Linked DNA regions of Notamacropus eugenii. The main gene of each other region encodes a partner of the protein of the gene in region 2 in a complex. Links are inferred from orthologs where the notes say so. Each region holds a gene or a part of one and is shown on either strand. Other genes may lie near its edges.

Evidence for each region.
Region 1: LSM6 (region 2) and LSM8 share a complex: the UniProt entries of both Homo sapiens proteins name them as parts of the precatalytic spliceosome. The link is inferred for Notamacropus eugenii from reciprocal best matches to the Homo sapiens genes LSM6 and LSM8.

The regions. Positions count from the first base shown.
Region 1 is NC_092874.1:134,579,149-134,586,951, forward strand, and holds the start of LSM8 (LSM8 homolog, U6 small nuclear RNA associated), read right to left. Parts: upstream 3,017-7,803; 5' UTR 2,783-3,016; coding exon 2,752-2,782; exon of another isoform or gene 2,273-2,751; intron 1,747-2,272; coding exon 1,706-1,746; intron 70-1,705; coding exon 1-69. UniProt on the Homo sapiens protein: Plays a role in pre-mRNA splicing as component of the U4/U6-U5 tri-snRNP complex that is involved in spliceosome assembly, and as component of the precatalytic spliceosome (spliceosome B complex).
Region 2 is NC_092877.1:143,185,274-143,193,093, reverse strand, and holds the start of LSM6 (U6 snRNA-associated Sm-like protein LSm6), read right to left. Parts: upstream 3,013-7,820; 5' UTR 2,889-3,012; intron 2,083-2,888; exon of another isoform or gene 1,853-2,082; intron 1-1,852. UniProt on the Homo sapiens protein: Plays a role in pre-mRNA splicing as component of the U4/U6-U5 tri-snRNP complex that is involved in spliceosome assembly, and as component of the precatalytic spliceosome (spliceosome B complex).

The DNA.
Region 1 (7,803 bases), on a different chromosome or scaffold from region 2:
GCTAAACACCCGTTCATGACTTTCATCCAAAATCAAATTGATGGTCTGATCAAAACCTTTCAGTGTTCCCTGCGAAAAGAATAATGAAATGTTTTTAAGTCATCTCAATTTGTAAGTTCAGTATATAATATACAGTAATTCTAGAAAACTAGTCCCTCAAATGCAAATAAGACACATTAAAAAGTCTTTCTAACACTAAAAAATAAAAACAAAAAAATCCTCTATAACTGCCATTATTTCAGGTTATAAAACTCTTTATTAAGGAAAAAAAAATACATGAGTACCAACTGTCTACAGAAAGCTCTGATGTAAGAGCTATATAAAAATATATAAAATATTTTTTGTGTTGGTTACTGTGAGTGTACAGAAGGACAATACACAGTCACTGCACCTTTCAAGAGCTAATATTCCATTAAGTTTGATAAATATTCATTCTGTGCAAGATGATGTGGAGTAGCTAGGGATATAAAGATAAAAGTCCCTGAATATAAGGAATTTATATTCTAAAGGTAACCTAATGAACCCAAATAAAAATATGATATAGTAAGCTTTTTAAAAAAGGACTGGATTAATTATAATTTCTCAAAGGAAAAATGTACTGTGTTTTATAAAATAAGTGGAGCCTGATGAGAAGGTTTCATGGAATAAACTTAATTTTAAAATAAGAGCAAAAAAAAATAAAACAAAAAAAATAAGAGCAAAAAAGAGTTGGCAGAATTTCTGAGGAAATTTAAATTTACGTGGCTCTTGTTAAATGTTTCAATTTATTATTAATTTTCTGTATATTCAGTTTTAAAGCAATGCCAAAAGAAGAAAACTAAATCTAGGGTTTGCAGAAATCATGCTTTAAAAAATAAAAACTAACTAGCAACCAATTCACCTATTGACTAGCTTATCACAAACAAAAAAAGAGCCTATTGGGACATGTATAACTTTTTTAAAATAGCATTTAGGCATGTTTGAATGTAGCAAGTAACATGAACTATATTTCCAAAGATGGGCTTAAGCTGTTTTATGTGTTCTTTGTGTGTAAAATTTTCCAGAAAATATACTTTTCCTTTAATTTTGCTAAAATTAACAAAGAAATATTTTTATCTTGGGCTTTCATAAAAAAATTATATTACTTCATCCACATAGTAATATAGGAAAAATTTAATAAACAAAGTCAGTAAGCAAAATAAAAAAAAATATTTCACAAGAGAAGCCTGGTATTGAAATTTATTTGTCAAGTCTGTAATTCTCAATAAACTTGGAGCTCCTTTGAACACAAAGAACATGCCTAAATGCTATTTTGGAGAGGGCAATTTCACTTGGATAAGGTTGGAAGTCAGATTGCAGAAGGTTAAGAATAGAGTGAGAGGAATGCTGAAGGCAAGTGTTGTATAAGTTAAACAGTCTATGAGAAAAGTCTAACAGCTGACATTAATATAGGACTTAAAGGTTTAGAAAGCCTTTTATATACATTATCTCCTTTTACACATAAGAAAACTGAGGTTTGGAGAGCCACTTGTCTATGGTCCAACAGATAAAAGAGTCAGGGAGAAGGGTTTGGATCTGGGTCTTTCTAATACCAAGACCAACACTGTATCCATAATGCTCAGCTGATGCAGTAAATGTAAAAATATCACACCATCTCATGGTGACACAGGTATTGAACAAATAAAACACTCTGGGATGACAGAATAGTGTAGAACTGAACACTTACCACAATCATTCTGCCATCAGATGTAATTACAGCCACAGTACCTGATAAAACAGGATTAAGGAAGTATTTCTTTAGGAAAGTCCAAATGCTGTAATCTTAAGCCCTGATAAAAAAAACCTGAATTTGACAGAAAATCTGAAATATTACTGTCACAGCGGGTGAACACAGATATGCCAAATTTCCTATATAAAAGGTGGATCTGAAGGTCTGAAAACTCTATAAAAACATACCATTAGAAAAAAAACCCAACAAACCAAACCAGAAAACAACAGTGCTTACAAGAATTTCAATCATACCTTTGGCTTTTCTTTGGGGAAAAAAAATCACTCTTTCAATTATGTGATTCGAGTGTTCTGCCCTAAAACAGCTACAAAGTTTAACTACTCTTACAGGGTATTTTTTCCAACTTTTGGCCCTGTGCCACCTTACAAACAACTTTCCTCACCTAACTCCCTCTACAACTAGCGATGAAAGCCCACAGAAGTTACCAGTAAATGCAGATTCCCAAGCACAAGCCATATGCTCTACTCTGGCACCCACCAGGCAATAAGAATGAAAGATTGAAACCTTGAATGGGCTTTTTCTGGTTTTAATTTAGACGTGATCTCCTTCTTCTTTCTGCCAGAGGTACCCAGGCCCGCACCCAAACATTCGCATCTAGCTCGGCTCGCTGCTGCCAAGGCCACGGAGGGGGCTGGCGGGAGGAGGGAGATGGCCGCTCGGCCCATGAAAAGTTGTTCCTTTTTGGGGGGGCGAGGGAGCGGGGGGCTGCTAAGAAGTAAAGAACCACAATTAAGATCTGCCCCGAAGAGGGTCGGGCCGCACGGGCCCCGAAGGCGAGCACAGCTTCGCCCGCGCAGGATTCCCGAGTCCCAGCAGGCGGGCCAGGATCTCTCGCTCCTCCCCTTCCCGGCCGGCCGCGCCAAGGCCCGCTCCGCTCCCTAGGCCAGAAAACACTGCGCCGCTCCGGATGCCCCGCACAACCATGGCGGGGGAACGCGAAGAGGGGGCGCAAAGCCGCCGCCCCGGCGGCAGCTCAAGGATACGGTTGATGTAGTTTTCCAAAGCCGACGTCATGATGGTCGGGCCGCGCGCTCCGGAGTCTGCGCCAAGCGCCGAGAAGAACAGAGAAGGGAAAAAGGAACACGGCCCGGAAGAACTGCAAACACCCGGACGCTTTCCGTCGGCAAGGAAGCAAGGATCGCGAGAGTAAAGGCTACCGCGGCACCCGCCCCGCCTTCTCCCTTCCTTTGCCTCTCCAAGGAGCAGAGAGCGATTCGTGCGCAGGCGTCCTTTGCGTGTCCTCCCAGGATGCCTCGGTTCCCTGGGGATCACGTGGAGCGGGAGAGGGCGGAGTAAAACGAAGAGAGCCGAAATAAATGGAGACGGGGGGAGCTTTGAGGAAAAGTTAGTTGGAAGGAAAGAAAACAGCAGTGAGATTTTCATCGCATTACAAGTATGAAAGGCATAGAGGTTTATTCACAGAAAGCATGAAGGGTATAGGAATTTAATAAGCTAACGCTTTAAGCTTTGCAAAGCACTTTACAAATGGCATCTGCATCTCATCTCGCCCTGGCAGCCCAGGGAGGTGGGCGTTCCTGTGCCCATCTCTGCCCGCGCGACCCCGGGCAGGCGGCCCAGGGAGGTGGGCGCTCCTAGGCCCATCTCTGCCCGCGCGACCCCGGGCAGGCGGCCCAGGGAGGTGGGCGCTCCTAGGCCCATCTCTGCCCGCGCGACCCCGGGCAGGCGGCCCAGGGAGGTGGGCGCTCCTGTGCCCATCTCTGCCCGCGCGACCCCGGGCAGGCGGCCCAGGGAGGTGGGCGCTCCTGTGCCCATCTCTGCCCGCGCGACCCCGGGCAGGCGGCCCAGGGAGGTGGGCGCTCCTGTGCCCATCTCTGCCCGCGCGACCCCGGGCAGGCGGCCCAGGGAGGTGGGCGCTCCTGTGCCCATCTCTACCCGCGCGACCCCGGGCAGCTCGCACCGTCAGTGTCTCAGGCTTTATCTGACCGCAGATTTTCCTCCCGCCTCCCTTTCCGTCTCCATCACCGCACAGATGTGACGCTTGAGTTGCAGGGACTGTGGTCCTCCCCCCGCCCCGCAGCAGAAATGCAAAGTGTCACCAAACGGGCACAATCTTCCTCAGATTCTAATGCGTTACAGTCAGTGTACTGTCTTACTGGAGGGGGAAAGACATTGCCGTATGGTCGCCTCTTCCTGGCCCCATTTGGGGTTTTCTTGGCACAGGCACTGCAGTGATTTGCCATTTCTTTCTCCAGCTCATTTACAGAAAACGAACTAAGGTAACCAGGGTTGCATAACTCGTTATCTGAGGCTGGATTTGAACTCACATGAGTCTTCTTGACTCCGTCCTTGGCGCTCCATCTACTTCACCATGTGGGTGGTAACTGATACTTGCAACATACGTTCAAAAACAATGATTAGTAGATTAGAACTGGGATATTAGAAGAAATCTGGGTCCAGCCCTTCAGTTTTAGAGATGATGAGAAATTGAGGTCAAGTGATTTGCCCAGCGTTACAGACAGTAAAATGGCAAAGACAAGGGTTCAGCTGACTTTGGAATCCAGCACCCTCTTCCATAACCTACCTCCTAATTTTCTTCATTTTTTCTATGCAGCTTGCCCCTTTTACAGTTGAAAGAATGGACAGAGTAAAGCAAACTTGACCAGAACTACAAAGTAAACTAGTGGAGACCCAGAATTAGAGTCTGGTTGTATTTTATGCCCTCTAGCTGCCTTTGCTACAATGCCATGTAACCCAGTTATGAGAGCTGGCTTCCCAGAGACAGTATATTATTAGTTAGCATTCTTTCTCCATGTACTTATTGAGAACCAGCTTTGTGTAAAGCACAGTAAGGTTCAGAAGGAACTGAAGGGGATAAAGAAAAATAAAAGTTCTTCCCCAATAGAGATTACAAGTTCAAGTACAAGGCAGGTGAAGTATGGTTAAAGAGCAGGTTGTCTGACTGAAAAAGATCTGGAAATTTGAGTCAGTGTCACCATAGTGTGGTTGCAGCCAGAAAAAGGAAAAAATGCTTTTGGGCTGCATCAAAGGAATAACTTCCAGGGATGAGGAAATGGTAGTTCTTCCCCACTCTGCCCTGGTCAGACTGGCATACTATGCTCCCTTATGGTTAACACAATTTAAAAAGTTGCAGTCAGACTTAAACTTGATATAAGGAAATATTCTCTTTTCTTAGAGGTCTTTAAAATACTTGTTCAATATTTTATAATGGGATTTCTTTCAGGTATGGATTGCACTAGATGGCTGCTGAAGTTCCTTCAAATTTTCAAATTCTGTACTTCTGCATTATAGAGAAGAAAGGCATTTAAATAAGTATGGAACATGAATGATATGGTCCAAGCTCATTTCAGCTACTTTTATCTGTGTAAAATTGGGGCAAATTACTTTACTTCTCTGGTCCATAGTTCTTTATCTGCAAAATGAGGTGGTTGAGACTAGGTGGCCTCTAAGATGTCTTGATCAACTCCAGACTCTATGATCTTCCTAATCCCATTTTTTGTTTTCACCATGATCTCCAGTCCTTTCATTCCCACCTAGTTTTCCAGGGCACTGTGGTTTCATTTTTCTCTCTTCCTACTTTGTCCTCTACTGTCCTCTATTCTTGAATCTCTTATCCTTTTATCCTGTTGTTGCCTCTGTCTTGCTAAACCTCAGCCCTTGATTATTCCCACCATCTCCCTCCTTTGCTTCTTTTCATCTGCTGCTGGAGAAAGTCATTCAACTATGTAGACCGAGTTCAATGCAGATATAAATTATCTGATCTCAACTGGGCCCTCACCTACAGCAATACAATCTTTTTACTCATCATTAATTGATTCTCTCTGACACTCCCCACAGAAGCTGTTCCAAAATCTCTTTTCCCCATTTTTATGATAATCTCCCTAGGTTCTCTTTCCTATCTGATTACTTCTTTACTGGATTGTCGTCTATGTCTCACTCCCCTCCAACTCTTGATTGTGCCCCAGGATTTTGTTCTAAAACATCTGGGTCTCTTCTTAACAGATAATCCTCAGATATCCATGCAGATGATGTTTTCTGCAGGCACACTTCTTTATATAACCACAAGAATAATTACTTTATGAACAATTATACTTAGGGCATGTCTTTCTTATAGATTACCTTCTTCTTTTTTAAAGTAAATTTTTATTGATGTTTATTTACATCACGAAAATTTCCCCAATGTCTCCTTCTGTCTTCCAGAGAGCCATCCCATATAACAAATGTCATTTTTATGAGATGGAAAAAAGAGAAATCATCAAAACTGATCAATACGTTGACAAATTGTGAAAATATGTTCCAGGTACCACACTCATGGACTAGCCACCACTCCAAAGAGGTGGGCTAAGAGTGTTTTCTCATATCCTTTCTTTTGGACCATGCTTGTCCTTTGTAATTTTGCAGCAATTATGATGGAAAATGCCATCTACATCCAGAGAAAGAAATATGAAGTCTGAATGCAGAGTGAAGCAGGCTATTTTCTTGCTTTGTTTTGTTTTTTTCATTCTCATGGTTCCTCCCATTTGTTCTAATTCTTCTATATAACATGACTTATGTGAAAATGTTTTTAATAGGAATATATGCATAGAGCCTGTATCAGATTGCATGCTGTCTTGTGGATGGGGGAAGGGAGGAGGGGAGTAAATTTAAAACTTATGGAAGTGGATGTTGAAAACTAAAATAAATTAACTTTAAAAAAGTATACTTCAATCTGTACTCAGTGTTCATCAGTTCTCTCTCTAGTAGTAAATAGCATTTTTCATTATGACTCTTCGGAATTGTCTTGGATCACTGTCTTGATCCCAGTAGAAAAGTTTTTCATAGCTGATCATTGTTACACTATTGCTGTTACTATGTACAGAGTTCTCCTGGTTCTGCTCATCGCACTTTATATGAGTTCTTATAAGTCTTCCCAGGTTTCTCTGAAAGCATTGTGCTTGTCCTTTGTTATAGCACAATAATATTCCGTCAAAATGATATATCATAACTTGTTAAGCCATTCCCCAATGCATTTCCTCAATTTCTAGTTCTTTGCCACCACAGAAAGAGTTCCTGTAATAATGTTTGTATACACAAGAACTTTTCCCCTTTATTTAATCTCTTCGGGAATCCATACCTAGTAGCGGTATTGCTGGCTAAAAGAGTATGCTGTGTTATATAGCCCTTTGGGGGTAATTCTAAATTGTTCTCCAGAATGATTAGGTTAGGTCACAATTCTACCAACATGCTTTAGTGTCCCTTCCTGCCCCTGCCCCCCATCTCCTCCAGAATTTGTTACTTTCCTTTCCTGTCCTATCCTGTTAGGTGTGAGGTGGTACCTCAAAGTTGTTTTAATGTGTATTTCTCTTACCAATACTGATTTAGAGAATTTTTATGTGAGTATCGATGACTTTGATTTCTTCTTCTGAAAACTGTCTGTTCATGTAATTTGTCCATGTATCAACTGGAGAATGACTCTTATTTTATAAATTTGTCTCAGTTCCCTATATTTTTGAGAAATGACTCCTTTATCAGAGAAACCGTAATTCCCTCTCTGTACCCCCTTCCCCCCTGCCAGTTTCCTGTTTTCCATCAAAATTTGGCTGCATTGATTTTGCTTGTGCAAAACATTTTCAATTTCATGGAATAAAAATTGTCCATTTTACTTCCTGCTTGGGTTTATTTTATCTAATGCGACTTTGTTAAAGCTAATTGTTTCAGCTAGTTTTTTGTAGATTTTCTAGGATTCTCTAAGTATACCATCATATCATCTGCAAAGAAAGATAGTTTTATTTCCTTATTGCCAACTTGAATTCTTTTGACTTTGTTTTTTATCTTATTGCTTTAGCTAACATTTTTCCATGTAAAATTTTAAAATACATTTTAAGTTTCAAACTCTCTTTCTCCCTTCCTCCCTTCCTCTTTCATTAAGAAGGCAAGTAATATGATATTGATTATACATATGAAGTCATGCAAAACATTTTTCCATATTAGCCATGTTGCAAAAGAAAAACCAAGAAAAATAAAGTTTAAAAAAGTGTGCTTCAATCTGCTGCATTCAGAGTTTATCAGTTTTCTCT
Region 2 (7,820 bases):
CCTTCTTTCTCATGGTTTCTTCTTTTGGTTCTAACTCTTCCTTACAACATGAATAATGTGAAAATGTTTAATATGAAATGTATATGTATAGCCTATATCAGACTGCATGCTGTCTTGGGGTAGAGGAGAGGGAGGGGGAGAAAATTTAGAACTCAAAATCTTATGGAAGTGAATACTGAAAACTAAAAGTGAATGAATGAAGAGAGGAAGAAATGAGGGTCCTGAAACAGATGTCCTCCAAGGTCCTTTCAGCTTTGTGTAAAAGATAGCTAGGTGCTAGATTTAGGAGTCGAAAACAGATGGGTTCAAATTCTACCTCTGATAATAGCTTTGTGATCATGACCAAGTGACAAAATCACTTTTAGCCCCAGTTTCCTTAGCTGCAAAATGGAAATAATAGTATTTGCAGAGACAGGATGATGGAGTAAGTGCATAGAGAGTTGGCTTCAGAGTCATGGAGATAAGGATTGTTGCCAGCCTTCTGTAGTGGCTGTGTAACACTGGACAAATCACTTAACCTGAGTCCTCAGACAAAAAAAAACTACAGAGCATGCCAGTTCTGCAAGGTTGAGGAAGTCTCTTTACTCTGGGTTCCCTTTACCAAGAAATCATAGAACCGGTTAAAAAAAAACAACCCCCCCAAATTTTGTAGAAATAATAAGGCCTAACAAGGTGACTGACTAAATAAGATGCTATGTGTAAAACCTTTGAAAATCTATATGAAAATCAACTTAAAAAAAAAATTTGTGACTTGAAATTTCTTTGATATAGACAAGTAATTCCCTGTGAGAAACGTCCTCTCTACCAATGCTGATGAGTAATCTAGGAAATTAAGTGACTTGGCCAGGGATACACCAAAACTTGGATACCAGTTTTCCTGAGGATGGCTCTCTATCCACTCTCCTACCATAAAATGCAGTCTCTACTACAATCATCAAAAATATTATCACATCCTATAATGTTTGACTAGTTAAGGTTAGGTCTGAATTCTACTATTCCTTTTTCTTCACCTCAAATGTGATGTAGGTTTGAGTAATGCACTTTAACTACTAACAAAATCCAAGTGTTGTAATTTTCCAAAGAGATCTTAAAAATCTTTATGTTAAGTACTAATTTCAGACAAGGGAATATTTAAATCTTGAAAGGGATTCCACACCAAATCAGTCTCTCTAGATTTTCAGTTCCAGTCAACAATATCTGTTTCATTAAACTTTTTGTATCTGTGGTCCTTTGGATGGCTAAACACACAGGAAAGCGGGCTGGATCTGAGTCAAAATACTAATAATATACAATGTAACAAATATGTTACAGGTATAACGCACTGACGTCCAAGAGCATTTAGAGTTGTATTAATGCACTGTGTTGGTAATATGAGCCATTCTCCAATGTTAGGAAAAGTGCTTCACAAACCTTCAGTGATGGTACAGTGCTAGCTATTATTCCCATTCTCCTTCTGGTCCCCACAAACTCTCTCTTGTCACTAAGGATCACTGTCCAAACCCACATGCAGAATGACTGCACGCCAACCACCTGTATCGTACACACACATTCCGCTCTCCGGGTCTCCCCAGGGGGTGGGGAAATCACTTCGCTTCTGATGATGCACTTGGAAGACTCCTAACGGTTCTGTAACTAACAGTTCAGACAAACAGAGGAGCTCACCAAACAGTCCCTGGAGAACACCCCCAAAGCGCGATCCTCACAAACGCCCAACCCCAAGCTCCCCCAGACAAGGAGTGGCCACAGATCCGTAATAAAAACTTAACTCCAGGCCTTTCAATAGAAACTAGGACCCAAAACCACCTCCAGAATTGGACCAGAACAGAAAAGCCAGACCACACCCCTTACCCACCTAAAGAAGTGGGCTCGAATCAAGGAACCAGAACTGCCGGCCGGGACCCCGCCGACGGAGGCGGGGCAGCTCACGGGGACCAAGGGGGCAGCTTTCTGGGCCGAAAGCGTGCTCCAGCACAGCCGCGCCGGGGCCGGCACCGGGGGGGCAGGCACCCAGGGGGGGCAGCTACGAGAGGAGCAGGCACCTGGGGGGCAGCTCCGAGGGGGGCCGCCCCGAGTCACGTCGGCCCCCCATCTCCTAGGCCTCCCCAAGGGCTGGGTGGGGGTCACTGGCTCCGTTCGACTCTAACCCGATCCCCGGACCTACTGACGCGGAGGGAAGGGCGTCCCCGAGGGACGGTTCTCATCCCAAACGGAACACGCTGCGGCCTGTCCCGGGTGGACGCGGCCTGTCCAGGAGGATCCGGGCGCTAGCCGGGCCTCTGGCTCGGGGGGGGGGGGGGGGTGTCTTCAGGAGCCCACCATGTTCCCTGCTTCGTGACAGGAGGGAGACGGGCGGGGCAAAGGGGGCTTAGCTTCGTGGGGTCCCTTCTCGGAATGACCGTGACGTCAGAAAGTCAAACGTCTACGATTTCGAAGGAAATCCTAAAAACGGCCACAGTTAGCAAAAGTGACATTTTTTTCCAAAACGAGCTCAGGAGCCCCGGGGAGCAGCTTTCGACTCCGAACCCGAGCCCCCCGGGACCGCGTCGGCCTGGCCGGCCGGGCCTCGGCTCCCAGCTCGCCCGTTCCGGCTCCGGGGCCGGCCTGCGGCCTTCCTTCCCACGCCGGGGCTGACAAGGCCTCCGGCCGCCCCACGGGGTCGCTTTTCACAGACTGCCGGGGGTCACGGGGGGTGCATTGGACTTTGGGAGGAGGGGTCCGCCGACTCGGAGGACCCAGGAGCGCCCAGCCGGGAGGCCCCGAGAGGCCCCCGGAAACGTTCGGGTCACCCCGGAGAGTTCTCCCCGGAAGGCGCCGCCGCCCCCTGCCCCATGGGTCCCTCAGACCTCGCGGGCAAAGCCCAGCACGCTCCCGGCCCCGCCGCAGCTCACCTCTAAGCTCCTCCGGCCGACGCCAGCCGCGGCCTCGCCTCCGCCTCCCGCCAAGAGCGCGCGCGCTCCCGCTCCGGAGCGGCCTGGGAGCGCGCGCCTCCGCCGGACCAATCGCGGCGCTCCCGGGCTACGGTCAGCCCGCAGGGACAAAATACTGCGGTCTGAGTGTACCTAGTGCTCTTCGGGAGAGCTTGACTCCCGCTCCTCCCCCCGCTGTTGTAACTGTGGTGGAGCGGCCAGGGGCGGGGCGAAGGCCTGAGGGGCGTGGCCAGAGCGACGAGGGCGTGGCCAAGACCAGCTAGGGGCGGGTTTAAGGTAGGGGAGAGTGCCTGTGAAACACCTAAGTGCAGCTCAGAGGACCCAGAGGGCAGAGGCTGTGGGTGTGGATAATCACGGATTTAGAGTCCTTTGGGATAATAAAACCGTGCGAGAGTTGGAAGTTACTGGGCCAGGGGGAGGGGGGCGGGGTTAAGGCAGCATTCAGTCTCAAGTTTTATCCGCTCACTCACCTAAGATGCCTAGCCCAGAAGGCAGTTGAGGGAGAGGAGGAGGGAGAAGCAAGGGGGGGAGGAGGGAGAAGCAAGGGAGAGGTCAGAGGAGGGAGAAGGAGGGGATACAGAAAGAGGAGATAAAAGAAAGGGGGATAGAGAAAAAAGACTGAAGAATGAAAAGGTAGAAGAAGGGGTAAATACATAGAGGGGAGAAAGAAGGAAAAGGAACCAAGGAGAAAAAATGGAGAAAAAGCGAAAAGCATGGAATGCATGCATAGGGTGCCCACCCACCCACATTGTAATGGTGTCTGTTCTCTCCTGTCTCTGGACTGACACCCTGCAACCTTTACACTAAGTTCTCAGAGAAGAACCACGAAGATGTTGGTTGGTTACATGGACAAGGTTTGGGGTTGCTGGGAATCCCGACATTTCAAGGTTCAGAGTGGTATCTGCCTGGAAAGAATTCATGCATTCAAACCTTCTTCCAGTCAGGTGACAAGGTTTATTGTAACACCAATAGGAGTGGGGGAGATTCTTAGGGAATCTGTACTTTCATGGGGGTGAGATTTACGCTTATATACAAAAAAAAAAAAAGGGACAATGAAAAGATATGGACGCGATTAAGGAGGGGCAAATAGCTTGGGGTGGGCCAGGTGCAATAGTGACAGGAATAAAGTAGTCTGGGATGAGTCCAGAGTGACTGTGAAAGATGGGTCGGGTATCTAAGTGGGCTGGGCTGGGTGGGACTTCGGTGATCTGGGCTGCTAAAATGTATGTGAAAATTCAGGGGCTAAGCTGCTTTCAAAGACATAGTCTTTTGCTTTTAGGATACCAGGTCCCACCACCCTGTCAATACCAGGACTCTCACAGAACCCCCTACTCCTGACTTTAGTCCTCATTCTCCCCTTTGGTGTGCTTCTGTGTACATAAGTAGCCACTAACATTTGGTCTTAAATGTAACTACTTACTTAGCAATAAGACAAAAAGAATGATAGCCTCATAGATAACGCAGTAAAGCAAATACAGAAATCATAAGTCCATCCAAATCCATCTATAAACCTGAGTTACTCTCTCCCACCAAGGCACTCAATATCTAATGGGAAAAATGGGCCAGAAGAACAAGTGAGGAAATCCTCACAAAGAAAGGCTCACAACTCTAGAACCGTAAACACTGGTGCCCTCTTTTTGTCACAGGAACCAATCATAAAAGTTCCTTGATGAAAATAACCTCCGGGTTAAATGCTTCTACTCCTAAGTTGATTCATACTGTTCTTAAGAAAATGAATTAAGTTATGGGATGACTTCACTGATTTGGTGAAGCTCCCAGGCTAGCTCAGCTGAACTTACTCCTCAAGTGCAGCTGTAGTATCCATCACTTCCAGTTTCAGACTTTGCTGATGCTGTTCTCAAGTCTACTTTTCTTATATATCTGCGTTCTATGAGTCTTTTAGCTTATGGTTAGTAATCAAATATTTATCTATATATAATTAGGAAATTTACTTTTGTCATAGAGCAATTTTGGTATCCATATTTTCCTAGTCATTAACCTAAACAGTTATCCAATTTTTCATATACATATATCACTGAAGCTTACTTTCTCTGTCTGCTCCAGTACTTAATAGCTAGTCACATTCAAAATGAGTAAACTGCTGCTTCAGGACTCTCAAAGTAATTTTCTCAGAACTCAGAGCACATCTGTGCCTTATACAAGTGAACTATTAATTTAGGAACTACTTTTTCTCAAAAGCAGACTCATCTTCCAAATACATAAACTGTTATTCTCTTAAAGGGTCACTCTCTTAGAAGAAATAGAGCGAAACAAGAAAGAAGGGAGAAAGAAAACTGAAAGATACTAGAGATTGTTGGGTTTGCCCTTTGTTCTCAAAGAGGACCATGACATCATGACTTGCAGCTGACTTTGATTTGAGTGAGGGAGGGCTCTGCAAGGTCACCAGCCTCACTTTCTCCTCTTGAGCCATCTGGGTCCAGTGGCCTGATATTCATGAGGAGGGCTGGAGATGGCCCCACTGGAGAAAGAAAGAGATTGAGAAAGAGAGGAGAAAAGGCAAGGTCAAATTTTTAACCTGCTGTTGAGGGACTGAAGTGTGGGTAGGGCTAAATCATTAGCAAGTTATTGTTACCATTGCAATAATACTGGGTAAAACAAATGATTTTAGGGGTTTTATGTATTTGTTGAGTGTGGTACTGGTGGGGTATGGTACCTGAACCTCTAAAAAAGGGGAAAGATCTTCAGTCCTTAAGCTTTCTCATACATTTGAGCCCTGGTCTTTCCCCGAGGCACCTGATCCATCTCAGTATAATCCTTTCAACTGTCCTTCCTTTGTGGCGTTCTGACCCAGCCCAACCTTTCATTGTCTGCACCTGCCCATCCCAGGCTATTTGCCACTACTTGATCCCATCCAGATTTTCTGTATGAAAGTTCCAATTTTACTCCTCATTACATTGAGCAGATTCTTAGAATCTTGGCCACCCAACTAGTGTCATAGTAAAACCTCACTAGTCTCACTCGAAAGAAAGCTTGATTAGTCATATTCTTTGGAGGCAGACATGCCCTGTACTCTTGCATTTTGGGGTTCCTAGAACCCCTAGACTGCATCATATTTGGTTCTCTGACCACTACCTTCAAGAACCAGTCCTATTGTTATAACAAGGCCTCGGAAAAGGACTTAATTATTAATGACGTACATTGATTTAGTCAAAAATGTTGCATAGACCATGCACAACTATGGGAATCTAATTTATAAATTTACATGAATTCTTATGTTTACTCTAGTAATATGGGAAATAAGCCAGCAGTTGAGAGCGGAGAATACTCCACTACCGCCTACACAAATTGGATTCCTTTTTTTCTATGCACTTAGCTTAATCAATGGAAGAAAACAAATGCTAGGTTTTGTTTAGGGCTTCCAACAGAGAGATAAGAGAGACTTTCCTTATATTCCCAGCTCGTGGCTGGATTTAAAAGAGGCAGCTTGGTATAATGGAAAGAACACAGAATTTAGTCAGAAGACTTGAGTTTGAATTCTGCCTCTGACAGAATCTGGGGCAAGCTATCTAAAATTAGAATGGGTTGCAATGAGAAGTAGAGGGCTCTTCATTGCTTGAGGTCTTCAAACAAAGACTTGATGACAAATATGTTATACAGTGCAGTTTTTCAAATTTAAGTTGGATTATGTAGCTTCTGAGGTCCCTTCCAGTTCTGACATTCGATGGTTATGTAATACAGTCCCTTTTAGCCTGCATTCTTCTCTCTTAAATGAGAAGGTTGGAGGACATGATCCCCAAGGCTTCTTCCAGTTCAAAATTCTGTAATCCAGTGCTTCTAGATCTCTATCCTCTCCAATCAACACAACACTTATTTTTGTGCGTGTGAGCATGGACCAAAAGAATACTACAATGAATCTTTACTCATTACTAGGCAAAGAATGTGATAGTTTTTCAGAGATTTGGTGTTTGTTTTTTTGGAAGGGAGGAGAATTCTTTTCCTAAATCTATAGTTTGGGATATGAAAACCAGAATCACAGCCAAATATTTATCTTTGCGTTCAGACATCTTTATTTGAAGGTCTTTTGTAATAAGGGCTGCAAATCTCTAGAGCTATAACTAGGGTCAGGTGATTGGAGCTTTGTTTCAGAATGCTAAAATTAAGCAGGAATTGATAGCACTTGCTTGCCTTTAGCAGAATAGAAGCAATTGAATTTAACATCTAGTTAGCAAGGATAAATAGTTAAAATAGGAAGCTACCAGATGTCTTCCCTTGCACACATCATCTCCCCCAGAGGTGGTTTTACATTGTTTCAGAATCTCCACCTAGAGGAAACTGCGCTCTGGGGTCTCTATCTTTCCCTGAGAGAGTGGTATTCTTTCGGAGTCTCTCACCCCACAGACTTAATTCGTCTTTAAAAGTTAATTGAAGGGTATATTTTGTTCCAGTTGCCCTAAGTACTGGAATGGCTAGGAGTCACTCTGCCAATCTTTTCCCTTAGATCAAATACCTGTATGAAGAGTCACTAGCTTTGTCTCTTTCCCCCCTTTTTAGAGATCTTTCAGAAAATTTCCCTGAGATAATCTGAATGTCCCATTCCTGTTATATTGGAAGAAGATATGAGATAGAAAGACAAATGGGGAGGGAGCAGGTAGTCTCCCAAACTCAACAGAAGGTAGCACACTACTCATGCATTTGCGGAAAGAAGAAGAAAACGTGATTGACCCACCTTAAGCCATCAGGGAAGGGAAAACAGGGATCCTTTTTGAGTCTTGAAAAAATAAAATGTTTCCCATAGCACCCTGAGAGGTCTTATGGTCCTTGAGGCAGGTGGACAGGGATCTATGGTACCTATGTGTATAAAAGTAAGTTTTAAAAGAACTTAGTTGCTGTGAGGGTCAAATAATATGATATATGTAAAGCTCTTTGCAATCG